Schizosaccharomyces pombe: one gene and its partners. The protein of the gene in region 2 interacts with the protein of the main gene of each other region in a biochemical or structural test. Each region holds a gene or a part of one and is shown on either strand. Other genes may lie near its edges.

The links.
Region 1: the proteins of cwp1 (region 2) and cpp1 form a complex in vitro, tested with the Schizosaccharomyces pombe proteins (one study listed by BioGRID).
Region 3: the proteins of cwp1 (region 2) and cwg2 form a complex in vitro, tested with the Schizosaccharomyces pombe proteins (one study listed by BioGRID).

Annotation. Positions count from the first base shown.
Region 1 is NC_003424.3:3,589,699-3,599,744, reverse strand, and holds cpp1 (protein farnesyltransferase beta subunit Cpp1), read left to right. Parts: upstream 1-3,338; 5' UTR 3,339-3,399; coding exon 3,400-4,548; 3' UTR 4,549-4,782; coding exon of another isoform or gene 4,783-6,690; 3' UTR 6,691-6,751; downstream 6,752-10,046. Other genes in the region: rps2401 (40S ribosomal protein eS24), read right to left, coding at 169-504, 574-642; bro1 (vacuolar protein-sorting protein), read left to right, coding at 946-3,273; SPOM_SPAC17G6.03 (phosphoprotein phosphatase), read right to left, coding at 4,783-6,690; tco1 (RTA1-like protein), read left to right, coding at 9,796-10,046. UniProt on the Schizosaccharomyces pombe protein: Catalyzes the transfer of a farnesyl moiety from farnesyl diphosphate to a cysteine at the fourth position from the C-terminus of several proteins. The beta(cpp1) subunit is responsible for peptide-binding.
Region 2 is NC_003424.3:1,861,279-1,868,660, reverse strand, and holds cwp1 (geranylgeranyltransferase type 1 alpha subunit Cwp1), read left to right. Parts: upstream 1-2,889; 5' UTR 2,890-3,052; coding exon 3,053-3,729; intron 3,730-3,780; coding exon 3,781-3,988; 3' UTR 3,989-4,110; downstream 4,111-7,382. Other genes in the region: dhx37 (ATP-dependent RNA helicase Dhr1), read left to right, coding at 1-409; SPOM_SPAPB1A10.05 (uncharacterized protein), read right to left, coding at 642-1,526; protein dpc13, read right to left, coding at 4,204-4,246, 4,301-4,689; mRNA export receptor Nxt1, read right to left, coding at 4,899-5,227, 5,280-5,298; CENP-A histone chaperone Scm3, read right to left, coding at 5,717-6,727. UniProt on the Schizosaccharomyces pombe protein: Catalyzes the transfer of a farnesyl or geranyl-geranyl moiety from farnesyl or geranyl-geranyl diphosphate to a cysteine at the fourth position from the C-terminus of several proteins having the C-terminal sequence Cys-aliphatic-aliphatic-X.
Region 3 is NC_003424.3:3,325,525-3,333,198, reverse strand, and holds cwg2 (geranylgeranyltransferase type 1 beta subunit Cwg2), read left to right. Parts: upstream 1-4,033; 5' UTR 4,034-4,191; coding exon 4,192-5,259; downstream 5,260-7,674. Other genes in the region: aspartic protease Sxa1, read right to left, coding at 1-530; U3 snoRNP-associated protein Rrp9, read right to left, coding at 2,263-3,837; DNAJ domain-containing protein Erj5, read right to left, coding at 5,390-6,301; mug109 (Rab GTPase binding protein upregulated in meiosis II), read left to right, coding at 7,061-7,552.

The DNA of each region.
Region 1 (10,046 bases), 1.7 Mb from region 2:
TGAAGATTATTTACTTCATTCACTACTGTTCACACGAAAGCTGAACAATATTATTTTAGGCAACACGTAATTAAATCCGTTCGAATACAACAATGCATTTCCATCAAGTGAATACATCTCATTACTTTATGAAAATTATTTTTCTGAACCAAGAAAAAATAAGATTGCCTAGTCTTGTTGCTTAGACTTGCGCTTGGCAAGACGCTTGCCAGTACCAAAGACCTTCTTGCCTCTGTTCTTACGTTGCTTGCGTTGTTGACGAGCAACCTTTTGGATAGGCTCGGCATGTCCAACACGGACAAGACGATAATGGGGCTCAAACTTCTTCATGGCCTCGACGTCGTCGTAAATCAATGCAAAACCAGTGGTTCTTCCACCACCATAATGGGTACGAAGACCAAATGCCTGGACAGCACTTGCATCAGTCTTGTACATTTGACCCAATTTTTCACGAAGATCGTTTTTGGAAATGTTGGCCTTGCCAGGATGCAAAATGTCGACCACCTAAAACGCCCTCATGTTAGTATATGCCACGTCTGATCGTAAAGAACTTATAAGCAAAAAAATACATACCATTTGCTTCCTCTGAAGCAAGCGGTTGGTCATAAACTTGCGAGTTCTGATTGTAACCGCCTCACTCATATTGGTCTTAATACAACTATCTAGCGCCCACGAATTCCAAAATTTTACCCCAAAGAAGGCAGTCACAAGATGTGGTACAAAGAAAGAATAGTGAATACTTGAGTAACTACACAAACAACGGTATATTGCTTTAAGGAGATCAAAGGGACTTGTAAATATAATAGAAAATTATGTAGGTATTCCTTCACTTGTCTTAACGAGGATTAGTGCATCGTTGGCTTGACTGAATTTAGTCAATTAAGTCAGCTTGTCGAGTGCATAGAACTATAGGGGCATTGGCTCTTTTATAAGGAATTTTAAAGGATGGAGAAACTTGCTACTCCTTTTTTTTACTTAAATAAAAAGGAAACAAAGCATTCAGATTGGGTTGAGCCATTTACTACGTTCGTATCTCGAATATATGGAAATAGTGTTGATGTCGAAGATCAAATTAAGGCGTTCAACACTTTGAGAGAAAACGCAGCAGACGTCGATGACACAGTTGCTGGTAAGGATATTTTGTATTCTTATTACGGACAACTTGACTATTTGTCTTTCCGATTTCCCACTGGTGGTAATGGAATCAACATTTCTTTTGAGTGGAGCGATATCTTAGATCCCGATGCAGATTTCGTCAAGCAATCTTCTCTTGCCTTTGAAAAAGCATCGGTTTTATTCAATTTGGTTTCATTGCTTTCCCGAATGGCTGCTAATCATGCATCTGCTTACACTGTGGATGATTATAAGGCGGCCGCCAATTGTTTACAATGCGCTAGCGGTATTGCCAAACTCTTACGCGAATCTTTCATTCATGCACCTGGAAGAGATTTAGATTCCAATTTTTTACTAGGTATTTACAATCTTTTCTTGGGTCAAGCACAGGAGTGTGTCTTGGGACATATGTCTTTTTCAGCTAGTGACTCTAACATGAACTATTCGTTGGCTGCAAAGATTGCTAGTTCGGCAGCTACTTTATATGATAGCTGTGTACACGCATTTGAATCTATGGAACCGGCGTGCAATCCCAATTTCATACGGCTTGCTTCTGCCAAAAAGGCCGCCCTTGAGGGATTTTCCTCTTATTTTATGGCACGCGCTCAGTTGGAAAAATCGAAACAAGGGCTTGCTATTGGATATTTACAACAAGCTAAGTCAATTCTTTCGTCTGCTCAAAAGTTATTCAATGGTATAAAGTTGAGTACTGATTTTATTCATAAGCCTAGTCTTTCTGACTATCCTCAGACCATTTCTACCTTCATCAAATCCTCCTTGTCTCATTTGTTAAAAACTGCTGAGAAAGATAATGACTTTGTGTTTCATGATCTTGTAGTCAAGGAAGTTGAGCTCCCAAAAATATCTCCTTTGCAAGCTCTACCACCACTTCCTTTAGAGAAATTGTATGGAAGTCAAGATGGATTTGAAACTGCAAAAAAAATTGTTGGAGATGATTTGTTCAAGGCCTTTGTGCCTAGCGCCGTTACGACCGCCAGTTCGCTGTATTCAGAGGAGACTGCCAAAGTGTTTCGCGCTGAACAAGCTGAAGTAGAACGACAAAACACCCAAATGGCAACGGTTTTCGCCTCCTTAGACCTTAGCCGGCTTCAAGAAATCACACATTCGGATTCCAAAACGAACTTTATTCCGAAAGAACTTATAGAAGCTCGTTCCCAACTTATTTCTTTTAATCCTACTTTTAAAATTCACGAGTTGTTTGCAAAATCCACAAAGTTGAAGCAAATTATAGCGAAAATTAAGAGTGACTTAGAAGTGGAAGCCAATGAAAATGCCAAGATGAAGGCGAAACTTGGACCCTCGTGGACGTTATCAGATAGCTTAGAGTTTGCCGCTCCTTATCAAAGTGAACTCAACAATTACTTGAAGACCTTGGCAGAGGCTTCCGCTACTGATTCCGCTATATCCCAACAATATGCTTTAGTAAAAGATGATGTAGAAACGTTGTGTAACTCTTCCAAAATTAGCGCATTACTAGAATCGTCCATTTCCTCAACTGATAATTCTGGTCAAAGCTTACTTGATATTCCTATTGAGCAGGAGGAGCAAGAGCGCGATATGAAAATACAGCTTGACTTGTTAGAAGAATTGCAATCCAGAGTTCAAAAGTTAGTTCCTGAAAGGCAGACCACTTTACAGGCTTTACAGCAAAAGTGTTTGCAAGATGATATTTCTGAGTCTCTCATGCAAAATAGTAAGCGGAAGGACTCTGCACTCGATACCAATCAGCTTTTTGAACTAGAATTAAAGAAGTTTGACCCCTTGCGAAATAGATTACATGCATCTTATCGGCAACAGCAACTACTATTGAATGAGATGAGAAATGTTACACAAAAGTTGAAACAAAATCCGGAATTTTTGAGAAAGATGGAAGTATACAATAACCAATTTTCTAAAAATAAAGAGTTATGTTCTAATTTGCTTTCTTCTTCTCTTACGGCTAAAGCTATATCGGAAGGTGTATCTAAGGGCCTTGAATATTATAAAACTGTTGAACAGAGACTTGCCGAAATTAATAAGACCCTAGGAGAGCAATTACTTTTAAGAAGGAAACAGGGTGCCACATGTCTTTCAAAACTTTCATCTTCGAGCTCCTCTCATACAAGTATTTCCTCTAATATGCGAAACCTTCACATCTAGCGCCAAGTAACAATTTGGCTGTTACTTTAGGTTCTTTGTCTTCTAGTGTTTAAGTAAACCAGTCCAACAACTTTATAATTAATAAAGCTTTTTGGTGAGCGGACTCTTTCGTTAAAGTTAGTAAAGATGGATGAATTATCAGAAACGCAAGTTATGCAAAACGAAACGGCTACAGCTGTTCTTCCATTGCTGAACGGCGAGAGTCAATCGTTCAATTTGCAAAAGCATCTTAAGTATTTAACCAAAATGCTAGATCCTCTTCCTTCTCCCTTTACAGTATTGGATGCATCAAGGGCTTGGATGGTTTATTGGGAACTAAGTTCATTGGCAATTTTAGGCAAACTTGACAGCTCTGTTTGTGAACGGGCTATTAGCAGTGTGCGACAGTTGAAAGGGCCTAGTGGTGGTTTTTGTGGTGGGAATGGACAAGATGAACATTTATTGAGTACTTATGCTTCTATACTCAGTATATGTCTTTGTGACTCCACCGACGCATATTCCTTGATAGAGCGCGATCGTTTGTACGATTGGTTATTCTCTTTAAAAAATCCGGATGGTTCGTTTCGAGTTAATAATGAGGGAGAGTCGGATGCTCGATCCGTTTATGCAGCTGTATGTGTTTCTTCTTTAGTGGGAATCAGTATGGACGATCCTCTGTTTGAGGGTACCTTGCAATGGCTTTGCAAGTGCCAAACTTATGAGGGAGGTCTTTCAGGTGTCCCTTACGCCGAGGCTCATGGCGGATATACATTTTGTGCCCTTGCCGCAATTGCTTTGCTGGGAGGTCTTGACAATTTAAATGAAATAAAACTTAGCACTTGGCTTGTACAACGTCAAGATCCTGCTCTTTACGGATTTTCCGGTCGCTCTAACAAGCTAGTGGATGGTTGTTATAGTTGGTGGGTCGGTGCTAGCCATGTGATTGTGGCTTCAGGCTATGGTTCGGCTTCTCATAAAAGCCTGCCTAACCTTTTTTATAATCCAGAAAAATTATTAGGATATATTCTTCAATGTTGCCAGAGTACAAGCGGCGGTTTACGTGACAAACCACCAAAACGGCCTGATCAATATCATACTTGTTATTGTCTATTAGGGTTATCATCAATTGCTTATGACTACAGATATCACACTTCTGATGGTTGGTCCTATAAACCTTCCATCTTACACTCCTCTTTAAGCTCTTTATTACCGGCTCATCCAATTTACTGTGTTCCTTTTGGTTTTGAAGAAAGAATTAAATCATATTTTCTGTCACAAGAATCATCAAAATTCTAATGGTTTATTTATGAGTTGTCTATGGACTTTAATTTTTCATGAGAGGATTTTTTTTATTATTTTAACGGTTTATGTCCCGAGTTTAATATCATGCCTATTTTACTTCTCTATCAGGTATTTACTTCGTCATTTTTACACATGTTGAATAAATAATAATTCTTGACTTATTTGTTATCTTTAAAATCATTAATGTCATTAGAATAATCCTTACTAAAGGAAATAAACCATAGCCTTTTACTTATATAGGCAATCGTGGTCCCAATAGAGATCTGCATATAATGGTAACAAATCAGTCATAGAATGCTTTCCGTCAGGTCTCGTAAAGTAAAGCTCCCAATCGTCAGGTGAATATAAAGGCTTATCTGCAATTTTATTTAAAATGTCGTCTAAGCGTGGAATAACAAATGATGGAGCAACAACGTCAACAACTTGCTTATCGTCTCCAGAAAAAGAATCATCAAATCCAACTTGCGAGCAAATAAACCGCAGCGGTTCATAATGAGGAGTTGTAAGATGAGCAGTGTCATCTCCGTCATCTCCTAAATCATCGTGTGTAGTGTATCCATATGTCTTGCGAATGGAGTGTTCATAAAAGTCCTCAAATTTTGCATCAGAAACTTGTGGAGTGTTAATTTGAAGAGTATCTTCAGCAATCAGATATCCACTGTGTTGTAGAGCTTGTGGCAGGTACTTAGTAATCGACCATGGGACATCTTTCAAAACATAGAATATATTACTTTTAAAAGGACAGACTTGAAAGACCTCGTCTAAGCCAAAGGCACCTGAATTTAGACCACCTCGAATGCCACCCGAATTTACAATAATATAGTGAGGAATGTGATGTCGAGACTCATTGACGACTATTTTTGGAAAAAGTTCGGATTGAAATAGATGATAAATTGAGTTTGAATCGTTAAATGGAACTTCTGAAAATGCAAACTTTTTTGGGGAACAACCTATAGGAGTAAGTAAGCCAAGTGCCTTCCGAGCTTCGTAAATGCCATTAGAAATAAATTCTCCAAGTGAGGTATTGAAAGAAGACTTTTTTGTTTTCGAATGAAACATAAAGCCCTCGGGATTCCAATCAATATAGGAACGAGAGAAGCTGACACTGGCAGATTTAGCACTTTGCAAAGAGGAAAATATCTGCTGAGATGACCGTCTAATACTTTCGCCTATAAATCTCAAGCGCTCAGCTAGATAAGATTCCACCCCCATTAAAGAAGAAATCCCAGATAACTTGACCAACGATTTGAAGGATGGAATGCCGTTAATTGAGACCCAACCAACTGTTTCGCAATATCTTCCTGACTCAATTCCCACTGCTTTTTCATCGTAAATGGCATAATCTCTAATATGGGAATGACCACCAAGTACTTGTATTGGAGTGGTAGGGAAGTGAATCCGAAGCTCTGAAAGAACGATATCAAGCTCTGAGGCATTGTGAACGGGTACATGAGCGGGAATCAGAATCAGATCGATGTCTTTATTTGATACCATATCGTTCCACCATGGCTGTAGCGAGAATTGCGAAACTGGGAGGACACGAACCGTATCAGTAGCACCAGAAAATGAGTTTACAAATCCAAACGCAAGGATTTTAACATTGTGGGGTGTAGAAAAGATGGCATATCGATCTCCAAAGGGTACAAAAGAAGAAACATGTTCATCATATATGTCAATGTTTGCAGCTAAATATCGGCCTTCCCACAGAGGAATGAAATTATGATAAGTATCATTTGCAACAGTTGAGAGATAAAGCTCATGATTTCCAGCAACAAGAATATCATAATCCATATTTGCAAGTAATGAATCTGTCCAACTACCAGGGGGATCTGTCAGATCTGACAGGCCCGTACCATCATGAAGATCGCCGGTATCTACTAGCAGTAAATCAACGTCTTTTTGTTTTGCCAAGTGCTTCATATGTTGAACAAAAGAAGCGAAATCTCCTAAATCTCCTGAATAACGTTTATCTCGCGCATGTCCTGCTAACCAGCCATGGATGTCAGTAGTGTGTAAAATATTGACTTGACCCCATGTCAATTCCCGACGAATTGCCAAGGGCAAAGTTGCTGAATAGCAAGGATTGATAACAAATAAAAGAGAGAAAATTAATGAAAATGTATGGGCAGGTTTCATAATAAATATTGGTTCCCAGTATATAGGGTAAGTGCAGAATCGCCAAGATAAGAAGATCAAGTACCAAGTCACAAGCAGCAAATAGTAGCCAGCCAAACCTTCGTAATATGACAATCATTGCTTCCATCAAAAGTCATGGGAGTTTTAAAAAAGAATTCGTAGTCGCCTATTTTTTTTAATCAAAAATTTCTAAATGAAAATTGCGACGTCTGCAAAACGAGCACGCAAATGCAAGATTTTGAGATCGTCAAATGATTAAAAAGCTTTAGTGAAACACTACACTTATGTTATGCCTTTAACTTCCGGTTGGGCATAAGTATTTAGTAAAAGAAAAGAAGAATTGTAAATTGACAATGTGTGGGGAATTGGTTTGACGAACGATAATAGATAATATTATGCAATATTGTAAGTAATATTTATAACCTTATCACAGAGAAAAACGCTTTTAACCAGAAGTATTCCTTCCGAAAAACGTATATTGTCTTTATTCACCAGAGAAGAGTGCAAAAACAAAATATTGTCATTGTTGCTCAAGAAAATGATTAAGCAAGAAAAATTGGTTTTATAGTAATGCAAAAAAATTTGAAAAGGAAAAAATCATTTTTTCCATTCATGAAAATAAATAAAACCATTGAATCTGGCATTAGCATTGTCTCTTAAAAGAATTGGGATCCCGCAACGATGTATTCGTAATACCATAAATATGTATGAATTGCAATACGAGGAAAAGCCAGATTTTTTGTAGAATTTAAAACATAAAAAAAAGAGTAAAAACCAGGGTAAATATTGCAAAGGAGTATGTATCAATTTGCGTTTCCGTTAAAAGAAGGAGCATTCTATTTCTTTCATGAAGACTGCGTTTGCCAGTATCAATAACACTCTAAGCTTACTTTGTTTAAAGAACTTTTTAAAGATAAACAGCAGCCATTAACAGGGTTTTTTTTCCTCCATCAAGCTTGAAGAAATAAACTCATATACCGATTTAAAATAATAATATAAAAAATAAATATTGAATGGGACGGGACTCGAACCCGCGAGCTTTCGCACTGGCGTGCAATGCGTTGAACGCACCTAAAGCCAGCTCCATAACCACTCGGACACCCATCCTTTCTGTAACATACTAACGATTATGTACATAATATAGCAAGGATTAATAGAGCTCAAAATAAAAATAAAAGGTAATAAAAGAATGGATATGTTGTAATGATTAAATACAACTTCGGTTATTCTTTCATTCAGTATGGTTAACTGATTTAAAATGTCCAAACGATATGTTTCGTACAATACATGACGAAAATTTAAGAAGGAGAAGAAACTCATATTCCACTTCAAACGAAATATCAGGTCATTAATAAAGAGGGTTATACAAAAGAGGAAAATTTAATTTCACATTTTTTCTTTCTTCTATTTGAAACCTGCTTTTCCGCCAATTCATCTAGTCATGGTTTGTATCGGTCAACTTATAGTGACATTTGGTATGGAACAAATGAATGATTTGTGTAAATTTTATGGCGATTAAAGAAACTTCCGCTAAACATTCTATTTCCATTCATTCTACTTAATTAATTAATTTATCCCATCAAACGATATTTTGAAGCCACAAAACTAGGGGCATTCTTTATTGCACCACCTGTGCAAAAAGTCGTCTTATTCACTCATCATTCATATTAAAAGGAAAACGTTTCCTATCATTCCCCAAGTTAGAAAATTAGCATAGTTCATAGAAATGTAATCAAAAATTCAAAAAAAAGCCTTAATGCTGTGAGCCTTCTACGCATTCATACTAGTGATGGAACAGTAACGTTTAGTTTCATGCTTTTTTCGTCGTCAACTTCATATCAGTGCTCAGGTCAACGCTAATAGTTCAATGCTTTAAGTCATGTCAATTTAAGAGGCTTTAAAAAAAAATATCAGAAATTTTTCTTCCACGGTGTCCGAAAAAATCTAAAGGAAAATTTTTATCGAGTAATATGAGAGTAAAGTCTTACGCAGTTTCCAATGCCTATCATTATTGTACTGCGAGTCGGACAATTCAAAATCTCGTTCCTATGCATCATTCTGATTACAAATGCAAAACCGACATTGTCAAAAGCAAAGTGTGACACTTTCGCAAAATCAGTTTTCGTTGCATTGCTAACTGAAGAGCCAAGCTATATCAAAAAAGAACTTCCTAAAATAACTTTTCTTTTTATGAATTTATTATTTTTCATTCCAAGCGTCAATTGGGAACGCGAACGACGATTAAATCGTTTGAAACTCACCGGCAAATTACGTTTATGCTTGCAGCACTAGCTTTTTATTGAAATGACTCTTCCAAACGAAAATACCTCTGCCATTGAAATGGAACTACTGAAAATAGAGTATCTTCGTGAATTGAAATTTAAGCAGGAAAAGCTTGGTATTGGTGAGACAGCAATTAGTCCTCGGAACTGCAAACCCCGAGGAAGGTAAAACTCAACAATATCAAGAAAAAAAAGATTCCATAAGCCACACACTGGTACATAAACTGAAGAATTACTTGTTTGAAATTACTTAGACAGGGTCAACGGTGTTATTAAGAATTCCAAGTACATTTGCGTAATTGGCAGAGAGTTCTTTCTTGTTTCCACAATTTCCAGCACATTCATTGTTGTAATTGTTTTCGTCGTCTTGTTCGAGAATTTAGCAGGCTACAATATTTTTGCGTCCGTAGCTAGCCGTTGTTTAAGGTTACTCCCAGTGTCTTTTTCATTTTCTCCCACTGTGCCGCCATTCACTATTTATTGCGAATCCGCCTTGTTTACGTTTTACTTCATCTTTTTATTCGTTATTGTCGCGTGTCTTTATTTTGTGCTTTTATTTCCCGCCATCATATGTCGCTGAAGACTACCGGACACTTTAACATTGCGTATTAATTGATGAAAGTTTTATTTATTAGTGAATGATCTTGTCGCATAACAGCATTCTCCGTGTTTTCCGTTTTTCCGTTTATTTCAGTTGAACTGAGTTGACTTGTTGTACAAATTAATCGATCCCTTGTTTCTTTGAGTGAAGTTCTTTTTAAATTCTTACTTCTCTTTTCACTTATACACTTCTTTTTTTTTCGCTTTTCTCATATTAGTTACCATGTATTACGATAACGCTTTCGGCTATATCCCTGCCCACTGGGTCACCATCCTTGCTGTCATTCTCTTTAGTATCGCTTTCATTCTTCACGTTGCTTGTCTTGCTTTCACGAGAAAATGGCTCGTTATCGTCCCTATTATCGGTACCATTGGTGAATTGGCTGGATGGGCTTGTAGGTTAGACGCTTCGTACAATCCAGATGACTACAACGCCTTCTTGGGTCAAATCATCGCTTTAATTATCGCACCAGT
Region 2 (7,382 bases):
ATATATTGATCAAGTTGCTCTATATGATAAAGAGAAGCGTGGATATGTTACACTTTTCCCGTCTGGTTCCGAGGTTGTTCAATTCGTACCTGATAGAACTTATAATATTGATTCTGAATATGTTGTCTATCTTAGTCTACATGAAAGCAGAAGTGGTCGTGTTTACATGTCTCCTTTAACTGAAATCAGCCCAGAACATTTGGCTAGACTTGCTAAAAATACTACTCTTTTGTCTTACTCGAAACCCCTTTCATATCCACCAATTCGGTACCTGGATAATGCAACAAAACGAGAGTGCTGGGTTATTCCTATTCTAAGTGCCAATATTGGAACAGGATCACCTTCGTGGAATCTACCAGCCGTGCAAATCATACAAAAACGGATTAATGGGCGTTGGGTGAATTGTTAATTTTATCATTTTGTTCAAGATTTAAAAAGAAATTTAGAAGAAACAAAAATTTATTGATGACAGTTTTTCTAGCTAGATTTTTTAGATTGATCACATGTGATTTTGGTTATATTAGGGACATAAATAATAATTTGGGATACGGTTTTTGATATGAGATTTGGAACTTGGGATGCAAAAAAAAAAATAATAATAAAGGACTCAAAATTGTTAACAGGAACATAAGATATATTACTTATGTAGATGTCGAAGGGACAGCACCTCCCATGTCAATATCCATGCTATCATGAGTAGGTAGATTAGACATTTGAGCAGAATGAGTGGAATTAGTAATGGGGGTATCGTTGTTATTCATAGGATCATTAAGTTCATCATAGTCATCATCAAGCTCTTCAATAATGACCGAACTATTCGGTTCATTGACGACTCCATCGTAGGTATTATAATGTACTGGTTCTTCAACCGTCCATGAAGGATGGACTTCTGTAGGGTGATACTTCACTAGTTGTTTACTATCTGTAGGATAGTAATGTGAAGCAAAATGCCAAGTCGTTGGGTAATTAGAATTCAAGGAAGATATATAAGGATGTGCGGATTGAATACCAAAAGGAAGCATCTTCAAGCGATGAGGATGTCTAACGAGGGATTTTGATACGGCACTCTTGTTTCGATCATCATCGATATCTTCTGTTTGCTTGTCGAGTATTTGCCCTGTTGCAAGGTCAATAACTTGACCCGATTTGTCAGGATGATCGGACTCTAAAGATACTCTCTTTCGAGCAATTTCGTTCCACTCATTATTTTGTGTACTAGGAACAAGGCTATTTTGAGACGGCTCAATAACCAACAGGTCTTCTGCCCTTGGTCTTTTTTTGCTAGTACTAGAATTCTGGGGAACCAAATTGTAAGGCAAACTACTGTAAGGAGTTTTGAAGGCAGGAGGCGTGTCTGGAGTTATGTCTGATAAAGCGGCTTGTTTGGAAGTTGGGACAAAAGAATGCAATCGCGGTCGTTTCAAAGGAAAGTTTAAATGACTAACTTCTTTAGTTGGAGTGGTCGTACTGTTTTCATTTTGCAACGGGACAGATATCATAGAGTCTTGTGGTCTTTGACGCTTCATGGGCGAAATGCGAGTAGTAAATTAAAAACAAAATAATGTAAAGACAACAAAAAGTAATAAATAATGTTTGAAATGAGAAAAAAATCTAAATAAATCTGTTATGATGTTTTAGTCTAAAACCTAGAGGTAATACAGACTGCCGTAGTAACTTCCTTTAGTTCTAAATTATTTCGGTAAGTACAAACCCACAAACCCGTTCTCAAAATTGAATTAAAAAACACCGACAAATAAAGATCAGTTAATTTTTGAGTTTTTCAATTCAATAAAATTTCAGTCATCTATGTTGGTGAAGGTTGCACATTATGAGCTAAATCTAAATTTCGTCTAGTGCATGAAGTCAAGCATAATTAACCATCTAGAAAAATCCAGCAAAGTCGAAAACATTTAGAAGTCATTGCTTTCTTAGAAGACACGTTTTAATTACTTTTAATTAAATTTTTATTAGCGCAAATTCTGGTTGGTCATATATTCTGTAAGGGAAAAGTAAGTAGTAATATAAATTTGACATGACTTTTCAAAGCAGCTTCGAACCCTTTTTAAGATGTTAATTTAATTTACTGAATATTAATGGAAGGTTTGGATCAATTAAAAAATATTAAAATGCTTTAAATGCTATTATTGTTGCAACATTTCATTGTAAGTATATGTAAATAATCGGAATGTCAGATTTCAACTTAAGAAATTAAAAATTGAGTAGATCAGGAGATTATAAAGAAATAATTTGCTTCGGCATTGCTATATATTTTTTTGGAGATACTAACAAATGACATTTCATGACTCTGGTGATTAGGTTCTCGTTTTAAACTAAAATAATCATTGAAACGCATATCAATATATTTTTCTATATCGTGTTGTTCACCAGAAGCCTTCAATGCTTTATATAGGTGTTCAAATAATTTGCATGAATCTCTTTAATCCTCATCAGTTTTAATCGCTAGGATGCTGAAGATACAGATTTCTCATAGGCAATTTGTAATCACTAGTCATTCGTTTTGTACGACCAAAGCGCATCTATCCGGACAGGACATGAATTAGGTATTATTATAAACTCACAACATTTCATACTCTACTTAAAATTAGATGGGTTTTGCAATTACTTGATGTACTTGATGTTTTTTTTATTGTGCTCAAACTGAAAATATAACACCGGTTTAATTAATAGGCAATACTGAAATACCACGAATTGGTCGGTGATACTCATATAACCTGTACGTTTGAAGTTTTATGAATATACTCCGTTGCCTACAATAAAATTAATAAAAGACTATGATAAAAGTTTGAAATAAATCACATATTGTAAACATGGTAATCCTAACTCACTATTCATCTACTTACTCTCCTTAGTTAACCCACCATCACACCTGAACAATAGTACGCACTAAACAAAGAGACTCATTGTTTTTCGAGTTGATAATTTAGAAAAACCTGACAATCCTTTTTAATAAAACACTTATAATTAAATTTTCGGCCTTTAAGTATTTGTTTCTTTGAGTTGAGAATTGTACAACGGATGCCAAATTAATGAAATGGATCCCATTGATCCCGAGTTAAATGAAATTTTGGATTTTACAGAATATGGACCATTAACACCCATTCCTCAGGATGATGGCGAAAACCCATTAGCGAAAATTTGCTACACGACAGGATATGAACAAGGAATGGCTTATTTTCGTGCCATTATGGCTAAAAAGGAGTACTCCTTGAGAGCACTTAATTTAACAGGTTTCTTGATTATGAATAATCCAGCTCATTATACAGTATGGGCTTATAGATTTCAAATCCTAAACCACACGCCCAGTTACATAGACAATGAATTAGAATGGCTCGATGAAATTGCCGAAGATTTTCAAAAAAACTACCAGGTTTGGCATCATAGGCAAAAAATACTTTCTTTGACTAAGAATTATGAGCGTGAACTTGAGTTTACGAAAAAGATGTTTGAAATTGACAGTAAAAATTATCATGTCTGGTCCTACCGAGTTTGGATCTTGCAAAATTTTAATGATTATTCTCAAGAGCTGAAGTTAACCAACGAATTATTGGAAAAAGACATTTATAACAATTCGGCTTGGAATCATAGATTTTATGTTTTGTTTGAAACCTCCAAGGTGGTTTCTTGGTCTTTGGAAGAGGAACTGAATTATCTGAAAGACAAAATCCTTTTTGCTCCTGACAATCAGAGTGCTTGGAATTATTTGTGTGGGTAAGTATCTCTCATTTCCATTAATTACATTCTTCATTAACTTTTTTACAGTGTACTTGACAAATCAGGACCTTCAAAACTTGATAATCTCATAGCTAATCTCCGAAAAAATTTGCCTGCTTTACACAAGCCACTCTTAGAGTTTTTAGCTATGTACGAGCCTTCGTCGTCTGAAGAGATTTATCAAAAACTAGCAAATGAGGTTGACGTACCGCATGCCGCTTTATGGACATGGATGTCCCAAAGGAGCAATCCTTAAATCTATGCTTTGAATGCTAATTGGGTTTACTGATATTTTGATAAAGCATCTTGTTTAAAATTCCTACTAATTAAGAAAGTAGTTGTGATGTATAGTGAATCGTTTATGAAATCAATAACATTAGTCATTCCTCCAATTGTAAGTTTCACATAATAGTGAACAAGTAATGGTTATTAGGCCAAACAAAGAATAAAAAAAATGTCAGAGGCATATTTTTACTTTTCTTTCTTAAGGTTTCTTCGAACAAGTTCCAAAAATCTATAGATATGTTAGTGTTCGCACAATCAATGGAATACATTCAAAAAAACATACGCAGGATCATTTTGAATTCCAGATTTTTTAAATATCTCCGTGATAGTTTCAGCTAACTGCTTGAATTCCGGATCACGAGTAATCTTTAGGATAGTAAGAGGTGACGGTTTTGAACCAGCTTCAAGGCCGTATTTCTCAAAAAACTGACGAAGACGGCCAACCTTTTGAGCAAGTTCCGGATCATTAACAACTAATGAACTCATTTTCTCTTCAAGTTTCTGGACTTGCTCATCCATTACTGGATCCTTGAAAATAGTGTCGTCAGGTTGCGTAGTCGCACTTCTCTTCCATGTTAATATACTAGGAAACCTATTCCTATACAGAAGAGCATTGTTGTATGTAAGAGGCCTTCTGATAGTCAGCTGAGACAAATACTTCCAATATTTCATATTTGTAAGGTGGTGGTTAATTTTGTGTTCTAAAGAAGTATGAGGGATTAGGGAATGTGTCGCTCAGATAAGCTTGCTGCGGCAAATTAATACAAACTCTAAACGAAATGAAATCTTTGTTTTGGATACGTATTATTCACTCATAATTCTAAAATTTTGACTGGCAATATAATACTTTGATTCTTCCTGTTGTAGAACTATATTGTCTCTTAAAGGAAGTTAGTAGAGGATCTTAGTACAAGAAGGTAAATACAATAAAAACTGACATACGAAAATACATGAGGTTTTTTTCCATCGAAACGTATTGTTCCTGAAACAACAATTATGATATTCATATCATTACCCATGACCTGTTGACTATCGAAATCCTCAACTTTAGTTTTGGAGTATGGAAGATTAACTATCATAGAGGTAAATTCGGTTACTTGCATGGGTTTTCCATTCCATAAGATCAAACTATTTTCTCTGTAAAATTCTGCGATCCCATTTCTGTTCGTATCAAGAGATGAGTAATACCGTTGGACGAACTCCTGCGCATCTTTAATTGTTAGTTTATAGATAAAGCTTTAGTAATGCGGCATTTAACATACATTTTACACTCGACTCCATAATGATTCACAATGACAGAAATTTGTAGTGGTGTAAGTAGTCATTTAAACAGGTACATGTGTTATAAATTGAAATATTGTACTCATTAAGCGATATTTAAAGATAATCTTTGTTCAACACACTGAATGGATATTTCGGCTAGATATCTTTATGACTACGATTTTTACTTATAACATGAAGAGTGGAGAACAATTATGTGTACTCATTTGCCATACTACAAAAGCATAGATCACGTAAAAACTCAACGAATGATTAATATATTAGTAAAAAAATATATATTCGAATGTAACATGATAACTCGAAAGACAATTTGTTGTAAATGAAAACAAAAAATAAATATATGTTCGAAGAAATAGGTCATTAAAAGCCATGGTATGGCAAGCGAAGAAGATGGGAGAATAAGTGGTTTAAAGCTGAATCAACATTTTTTTGACTCAGAAATGCATTGGAAACAAAATGCTTTTTTACAAGTGCTGGAAGAATGAGGGTTCTGAGTGCTACTTCCTGAGAACGAAGTTTGTTGACTTAAAGGTTGAAAACCAAGATTAAAATGATGGGTAGAAAGATTAGGTCGAGGGGATATCATTGAAATTAATGAAATAAAGTTTCTTCGTTTTGTAGAATTGGAGTTTCGGACTTTTGACTTAGAAAAAGATCTACGTAAAGGAGTTTTAGGAGATGATAATAAAGGGTTCCTTCTTCTCGGTGAAGATAAAGTATCAGAGATGACGTGCAAAATCTCATTTTGTTCTATGCTTTTATGCTTGATTGTATCCAAACCACGCTGATCTGTTAATGTTCCTGATGAGTTTGGCAACAGACAAGATTTTTTTTCCAAAGCTGAAGCATCAACTTTTCTTGTTTTATCATTGATTTTTAGTCTCACGCATGACTGAGAGGGTATAGTTTCATTACAAACATTTTCCACAAAAAGTGAAGCTAAAGGAACTTCATCTGCAAACACACAATCTGACACCATTTCATCACGAAGTGATAGATTTTTAAATTTATAGATCTGGGGAGACTGAAAATCCTCTATATGGACTGGTGAAACAGCTTTTTCCCCTGGGTTGCCAATGCTTGAGTCTAATTTTTTTTCGTATCCATTTGACGCTGAGATTTCAAGGTTGTTAAATGTAGGATCCCATATATCATCTTTTGTTTTTAAAGCTTCTAGATGTCCATTATTAACAATAATTTCACCAGTTGCAAGATCTACTTCATCAGCTATATCAGAAGTGTCGCGTCCATATTTTTTGAAAAGAGATTCCAAAAAGTCGTTGTACTTCTTTTCGGACTCAATTCTTTTACAAAACACATCATCACAAGCCGTAGGATTAGTATTAAATTCGACAGACTGAAAAGACAACAGATGTGGACAAGAATAGTTTGGAGGCAGGTCAACGGCTTTCGGTTGACGATTGCACATGATTGAAAGTTAAAATCATTTGGTATTGAGAAATTTTGTTCAAAAAATCCTTTCCAATAAATTTCTTAAGGCAAAAATTGGAGATTTTCAGTTATTAGTAGGAAAGCGATTTCAGTAGTGGTTTATTAGTGAACGGTGCCATAACTGTAGACTTGTATTAGAGTTTCGTAACTAATTCACGAATGACTTTTAGATTTAATTTCTGTTAGAACTTAGAGATCAAAAAAAAAAGATAATGAAAAGTTCTTTTGAATAGTTTATGCAAAAGTGTAATTTCAATGATGGTCGCTTAACGCTTGTAAATTAACTCATTGCTCCAAAAGACTGATTTATCTGTTCTTGCACTAATTCTATACTGTTTAAGAATTTCTAAAATACATAAAATTAATAGACATACAATTTTGTAATAATAACGAACGCTGCGATACCTTGTGGATTCCAACGAACATAGCAATTCCACATTACTTTTTTAATGATAAAATGAGAAATCAACGATACCTAAAATAAAGAAAATAAGGATACTCGTTTTGGTGAATATTACTTTGCATCATTTGCACAATTTAATAAAAAAATCCCATAAGTTGAGCATTCCATTTGTCACATCGCCCCAAAGAAGCGTGACGATTCTTTGGCTTTCTTTCACAAATAATTCGTA
Region 3 (7,674 bases), 1.5 Mb from region 2:
TTATCCACCATATTGTAGCCAAGGACGGTGGTGTTGTCGCCATAGGAAGCCAAAAATCCAATGGTGCTGGAGTTGGTACGCCTGGCGGTAGTGCTGGAATAATCAAAACACGTGTAGTTGGTACAAGCATTAGTACGAATGTCCGAGGTAGATCTACCAGCATCCACCCCATCGGTGTCACTCCAAATCTCGGAAGCACTTAAGGCCGTAATGTTCTTAGCAGTAACCCAAGTATAAGGACTACCAGTATCCAAAGTGAGAGAATAGACTCTTTCATTGCTGCCCAAGGTAAGGTTAGCGAAATAACCGCCAGCATCAGTGTACTCAAGATCCAACACTGGATATCCCGAAGAATCGCGCTTGTTCAGTACTTTGGTACGTTCCAGTTTCCTCGCCACATGATCATATTGGCTATGTTGCAGATTTAAAACGACCGATCGTTTTCCTGGAACTTCGCTATAAGCAGAAGCTACCGAGGCTTGTAACGCCTGCAAAGCAGAAATTGCAAATACAAAGAAAGAAGCCTTCATATTATTATATTGATTAGAAATGTTATTAATCAGAGCAACAACAAGCTTTGGTTTTCTTCCAAACTAATAGACGGTGTATGCGTTTCCGCCTGCTTTAATGTAGTTTGCTCTGGTCAAAGTATGTGCCCCCCAGAATTTCACATCAACGTAATCCGCGGTTTAAGCCATTCGCGGCTTAGTTGACGCATTCATGAACCGAACTCGTTAAATGACTTTTTCGTATTTTCTTTTAACAGCAAACTTCGTTATAATCCTTTCATATCCAAAGGAAATCCCTTTTGCAACGTTAAAAATTCATTATACATTATAAAGGTATTGTAGCGTAGTAGCTTAATGCACATAACGTATTCCAAAGTGTTTCCATTAAAATAAAAATCAATGTAAGCATTTTACCGGAAATTACTTGAAAACATTGTACAATTTGATTACTTAAACTGTTAATTTGTTCGCTTGCTAGTAATTGATTTGCCTCTCCATTTATGTGAATGTCTGTCGAAACTCCGATGAAGACCCATATATATACAGTGTAGCTAGCTGCAAAGATGAAGAAAATAAGCACATGTTATCTAAGCGCCTGAGATAAAAACGTCAAGTTATATTAGGAGAATTCTACATAGATAGATAACGGCTACTGTGAAAAGTTGTGTTAAGTAATACTGCACAAAAAGACCGCATGTTCGACGGATCAATAGTTTCGTTTGACAAAGTTTCTGTATAAAAACATTGATTTAACGGCTACCGCATCTCGTGATTCATAGTAGTCATGGTGTTTATATCTTTATTAAAATATATTACCACCATATCTGCAAAGTGTCACGGTAACGGGATTTGGAAAACCAAAGATAACCGTAGTTGCGGGAGCAAATAAGTACCATTTAGTGATATTAGTATATTAAAAAACCGTTTTTTGGTTTGTCAAGAAAGTACAGTCGAAGTTATAAAGTGGAAACAACCTAGGAATCTTAAATATTTACGATTCTAGGTTCTGTCATTTGTTAAAGAAAATTCATTCCAAATTAAAAAATAGAGTATTATGCCAATATGCGCTTTTTGCTAAGTCCATCAACTTTTCATGCAAAGATACATGTATTTCATTTTTGACGAGTCTAGGAGAATTCCAAAGAACGACTTTTTTAAAAGGTCTATACTCCATTAAAGAATCTATAAGATACTAAAAACTAAAAAAAGGGCTTTTGATTACCATTATTAAGACAAGTAATATTGAGGACAATTTGGGGCAAGAGGTAAACAAAGTGATAGCAAGAACTAGTAAAACTTAATAGGATTTTAACAATACTCATAAACAAAACTTCGGTTTAACGATTTTGATATTTTCATTTTGCTTCAATAATTTCATTATGCACCATTTCAATGCACGGCATTTGATGAAGAAGAAAGTTCATTCGTTTATTACAAACTATTTCATCCTTCTTTTTCTTTTTTCAATTTATAAAACATTTAAAGAACCCAAATAGAAAAGCCCGAATTGAAAGACATGGTTCATCATTGTTCGTTTTAATAATCAATTTCATTTTTGTATATTTTTTCCTAATAAATCCGTATTTTATCTAAACTTTTAAATTAAATCCAACCCAAAATTCCGTTCCATGAATTAAAATTTTTTGTACACCAGGAAAAGATAAACACAGTAATAAGAGATCCATCACATCTGCTTCATAACCGCTTATATGAAAAATAATGAAAAGCTAAGTTCTTTTATTTTGCAACTTTACTACTCATCAATCTCGTCACCATCTGTAACAGAAGGAATAACCGTTAAAGGGATATTAAACACGAAGCCTGAATTAGGGATGCCCCGCAAGGTTTTCCAACGACCAACGCGAGTTTCTCTTCCGCAAGCAGCGAATACTCTTACCTCTGATTGTTTACCTTTTCCTTGCAAAGAAAGTGAAAGGGAATTGATGCAGCCATAAACTGACAACGGAGTAGCGATTGTTAAAGGTTCAAAAGAACGAAGGCCTTCCGCTATCTTCCATAAACGGATGTTTCCGTCCCAAGAACCAGAAGCAAATAGATTGGAGTATGGGATAGCAGCCAAACTAGTGATCCATCGAGGTTGAGGAGGTATAGTGACAGGATCTGGAGACGTCTCAGCGGAATGACGCCCAGGAGCTAGAATGGGATCTAGTCCATGAGCAAGTGGGTATGTAAAAAGAGGCTTCTTACGTTGAACAGACCAAAGTGCAATAACTCCATTATCGCTTCCAGTAACGAAATGGTCTTCATCAATCATTGCCACACAATCCACACTACCTTCCATATAGCCTGCAGTTGCTTTCATAGAAGTACCTCCACTACGAAATACCAGTTGAGACTCCTCAACAATTTTCCACAGACGCGATGTCCGATCTCTACCACCTACACTGACACATCTTTCCCGAGCTAATGCATCCACTCCAAAAATAACATCCTGATGTCCAAATAGCGTTTCAATATAAGACATTTGATCCAAAGACCATACCTTGATGGATCGATCAGCGGAACAACTAAACATTTCATTGGTTCCTCTTCGCATGGCTAATCCCATTACTGCGTCCCGATGATGTTTCCAACAATGTTGAGGCTCAAGTGTCACACTATCACGAATGACAATTCGATGGTCCAAACCTCCAGTAACGATCCAACGACCATCGTTGCTAATTGCTAGGCAAGTGATTTCTTTTACATGATCGTTCTCTCCTCTTCGGCTGCGAGAGAATTTGATCGGTCTGAAGTGCAATTTTATAGCTTTCCCAATTTCATGATCGTCATTTTCCCTATTTTCAGTATCTTTTTCTTGCAAAGCTTCCCATTTTTGGATCAAACCCGATTTATCAGCACTATAAACAAAATTTTCGTATGCTACCACTCCAACTAGCGGACGCATGTGACGGCCTCGCAGCTGAGCTGTTTCGATTTTTACATCAGGATTAATTTTAGAAGTATAGTCTAAATACATTTGTCCCTTCTTTTCTAATACGTCCTCCTTCAATCGACTTGCAAGCAATTCACGATCCACTTCTTTCGCATCGAAACCTCCATCTTCGACCAGTTCGTTCTTGACCTCGTCTAGATACTCCCTTGCTAATCGAAGCCTTTTTTCTGCTGCAGTCTCATAAGTATCTTCATTTTCCTCATCAATTTCGTCCTCAAAGCCATTGAATTCGGATTCTGATGATATAGATGCTAAATCTTCATTAGCGGGTCCATTCCTCTCCAATTTTTGATTCTCTTTTTCTCTTTTTGAAGTAGCACTCCTAGCTTTCCTCTTTCTATGCTCTGGACGTGTAAAGAAAGGATCAGACATGCTTTCTCTAAGGGTACCAACGGTTCGTAAATTTCTGTATCTTCAAACACCTATATGGTATACTGCCGGTGACTTAATTTTATTCTCCGAGCATACTCCACAAAAAGTCCGGTGATCCATACAAGAAATTTCCGAAGTTTACCGAGCTAATTCACCGAATTTCTTTTCATGAACAAATCATTACAGAAATATATCTGCTCATTACTATAAATCAAAATACCTTGTCGCGTTTTTTTGTTTTTAAGCTTAAAATAATTATCGTTCTTGTACCAATTTTGTTCGATAGATTTTTAAGACTTACTATTCTATTGACATCTATAGAATTCTGCTATCGGCGCATCTATTTATGGTCCAATGGAATTAACAAGAGCTAAACATATTGCTTTCTTTAAGAGACATCTTATACTATTTCCTACTCCATACGAAGAACACGATTGCGAAAGAACAGTGTTAGCATTCTTTTGTTTATTAGGATTAGACTTGCTAAATGCATTGAACACCATAGATGATGACGATAAAAAAAGTTGGATCGAGTGGATCTACAAAAACTATGTAACGAAAGAATCTAAAGGAATCAAATACTCCGGTTTTCAGGCGTATAGAACTGGCATTCAACCCATCTCATTCGAACAGGAGCCGCAATTAGCTGGGACTGTGTTTTCAATTTGTTGCCTTTTATTTCTTGGCGATAATCTTTCTCGTATCGACCGCGATTTAATTAAGAATTTTGTGGAGTTGTGCAAAACTTCGCAGGGTCATTTTAGAAGTATTGCTGTGCCATCATGTTCGGACCAAGACATGCGACAGTTATATATGGCTACGACTATTGCTTCGCTTCTTGATTTCTCTCTGTCTGACCCTTTATGTTCTATCCAATATATTAAAAGCTGTCAACGCTATGAAGGCGGATTTTCTTTGTTACCATACGGCGAAGCCCATGCTGGAGCTACATTTTGCGCGTTAGCATCATGGTCTTTAATATTGAAAATGATTCCAAATTCCTCTTTGAATACTTCTAATCAATCATATAACTTAATGGATTGTGTGCCTAAAGTAGAACGCCTTATCAGATGGTTAGCTTCTAGACAATTATCATCTGGAGGATTAAACGGAAGGACGAATAAAGACGTTGACACCTGTTATGCTTATTGGGTTTTGAGTTCATTAAAACTCCTTGATGCTCTGCCTTTTATCGATGGGGGTGAGTTGGAAAAATATTTATTATTGCATGCTCAACATGCTTTGGGCGGATTTTCTAAAACACCAGGTGAGTTTCCTGATGTTTTACATTCTGCACTTGGTCTATATGCAATGGCTTATCAAGATGATAAGTCTTTTCCTAAAGTAAATGCAGATATACATATGACTTCCAAGTATATAAACATTTGTAGAGACTGTATTCAAGCAGCCAAGGGGAAATGATAACTATATTATGATGATGAATTGTCGAAGAAAACTAAACAATAGACTATTAACTTAGAAACAACGTGATCAATCACTTGACTATAAAAACCTAAAGACACTCTAACAATATAAATTTGACTCAGTAACTTTAATTTTCTCTATTCGTGTTTTTAGAAAGTGGAATTCGATTTGCTCGTCTTTTCATTCGTCGCTTTCCGGCTTTTATGGAAGCCTCTTTCTTCGAAGGACTGGAGAAGCTAGATTTATGGACACTATCACTTTTCTCTTCATCTTCCATCTGTCCATCACTATCCGTATCTTCGGACGATGCAGGTGCTCTTGCAAACCAGCGTCCAAAGGCGTTCCAAACTATAAATCGGGGAAGACGGTAGAAAAAGGTGTCAGATATTTTAACGCTTGCAACGGAATCTGGTGAAACTAGATATTCTATATTGGAACTGGGATCCAAAATACACACTTGACCAGTTATGGAATCGACTGTATATATACGCCTTCCACCGGGTACTTGTACAATACGCTTTGAACCTCTGGCGGAAGTTGCATAAGACTCGTGTTGTCTAGCAATGTCTATATGATCCTGCATGATTTTCTTTTGCCGCTTTGAACTGATTACGAGCATAACGAAGTGTGCGATGGAAATGAGAAGAAACAACAAGACGAGCACAGCACCTAAACCAGGGCGATATCTTGAATAAAGATAACCCGTTCCCTTCCATCTTGGAAATCCATTTTTAAGGAAATAGTCATAACGTTTACGCGTTTCAGTGTTGCGAAGAATGTTTACGATCAGCCCTAAAAGCGTATACAATTCTTTACTTTTTGGATTCTTATCTGGATGATAAAGGATGCTCTTCTTTCTGTACGCTCTATTGATTTCTTTAATAGAGGCTTTTGTAGGCACTTCGAGTAGCTCATAAAACGTGGCCTTATTCTTCAAAATTGACTTTAAAGAATCAACAACTCGAAAAATTTCAAGGTCGGAAGAGGTCCACGCTAAGCAGACTCCAAATAAAAGCAGTAAAATAAAAATTCTGCTCATTTCCGCTCTATTTTGCAACCCGAAGGTTAGGTTCTTGGGTGATACGCGTTCGCTAACCTATTTAAACAAACGCTGAATAACGAAGTATCAGTATTTTTATCTTTCGAAGGCTGGTATTAAAACAAGGTTGGGTAAGAAAAAAATTACGATTTTAAGGGTATTTATAATTTTATTATTTTTTTTCTTTTTTTTATTTCCGTCTATGAAATTACGCTCTCTTGTGTGAGGAAAGGTACAACCAAAGTTGCTCAAGAAATTTTATGGAACGATTTTTTGAAAGAACTTAACATTGACGGGAAATGGCACTAGCGTAGCTATGTTTTAACAGAAAAATTATTATGCTAACACGTTTCTCGTGTTTTATTTCTAGATACAGACTATGAAAGCGTTGGTGGTGATGGGCAAATAGGAACCAGATCCGGCGACGCCAGTACAGCTTGTAATTCTCTCTTAATTATTTTTTTGTTCATATTTCTCTGAAATTTCTAATTTTTGTTTTGCATTTCGAATACCTGCAATTAGGCACCGGTGGACTAGTTATCCTTGAAGAGTAAATGGTTTCAAATTATTTTGAACAAATTTTGTTTGCGACCATACTATTATATTTACCTTATGTTTTTTCATATGATTTTGATTAATGTGAATTGAATCTACGAAAAGTTGTTTACGGTAGCGATTAGAGAATGTAAACAAACCATCGATGGGCGCCATTACTGGAGGAGCCAAAACGTTTCCCATTTCCACACATCAATCTTCCTGATGATGAAGTTAGAAAATAAATTACACCGAGTGCTATGTTCATTGCACCAGAATTCCATATCCACTCATAAAACATATGTTGCGGTAGCAGCGCAAGATGAATATGTACGAATGGGAAAGGTCTCTTTACCTCGTATGTATGCTGTTAAACCCAGAATACAAAAGAATTTTCAAGACAATTATAGATTCTATGGAACTTTGCTTTGTATTTGCTGGCTTTATTTCTTCATCTGGTACCCATTTGCTTTGTTAGCTCTAATGGTTGGTGTTTTTCTAAGTTTTGTTATGCATGGCTTGGGAAGCTTGACCATTAATCAAAATATAAGATTAGATCCCAAGTATTCCATCCCTGGTGTTTGTGCTGTCACTCTGATCGTTATTATGTTTCTCGCTCCAGTAGGACGGTTGTTTTGGTCATTCTGTATCGTGTCAAGCTTTGCTGGGTTACATTGTTTATTGACTACTTATGAGAATCCAGCGGGTATATTGTGATTTTCCACCAAGTGCCTACTTTTTATGAATACAAAATTCACTGTAAGCCGTTAGACTTAATGCTGTGCAAATCCACAGGATGCTTTTCTTCACTCATTCCTTTATAAGTTTTTCTACGATCA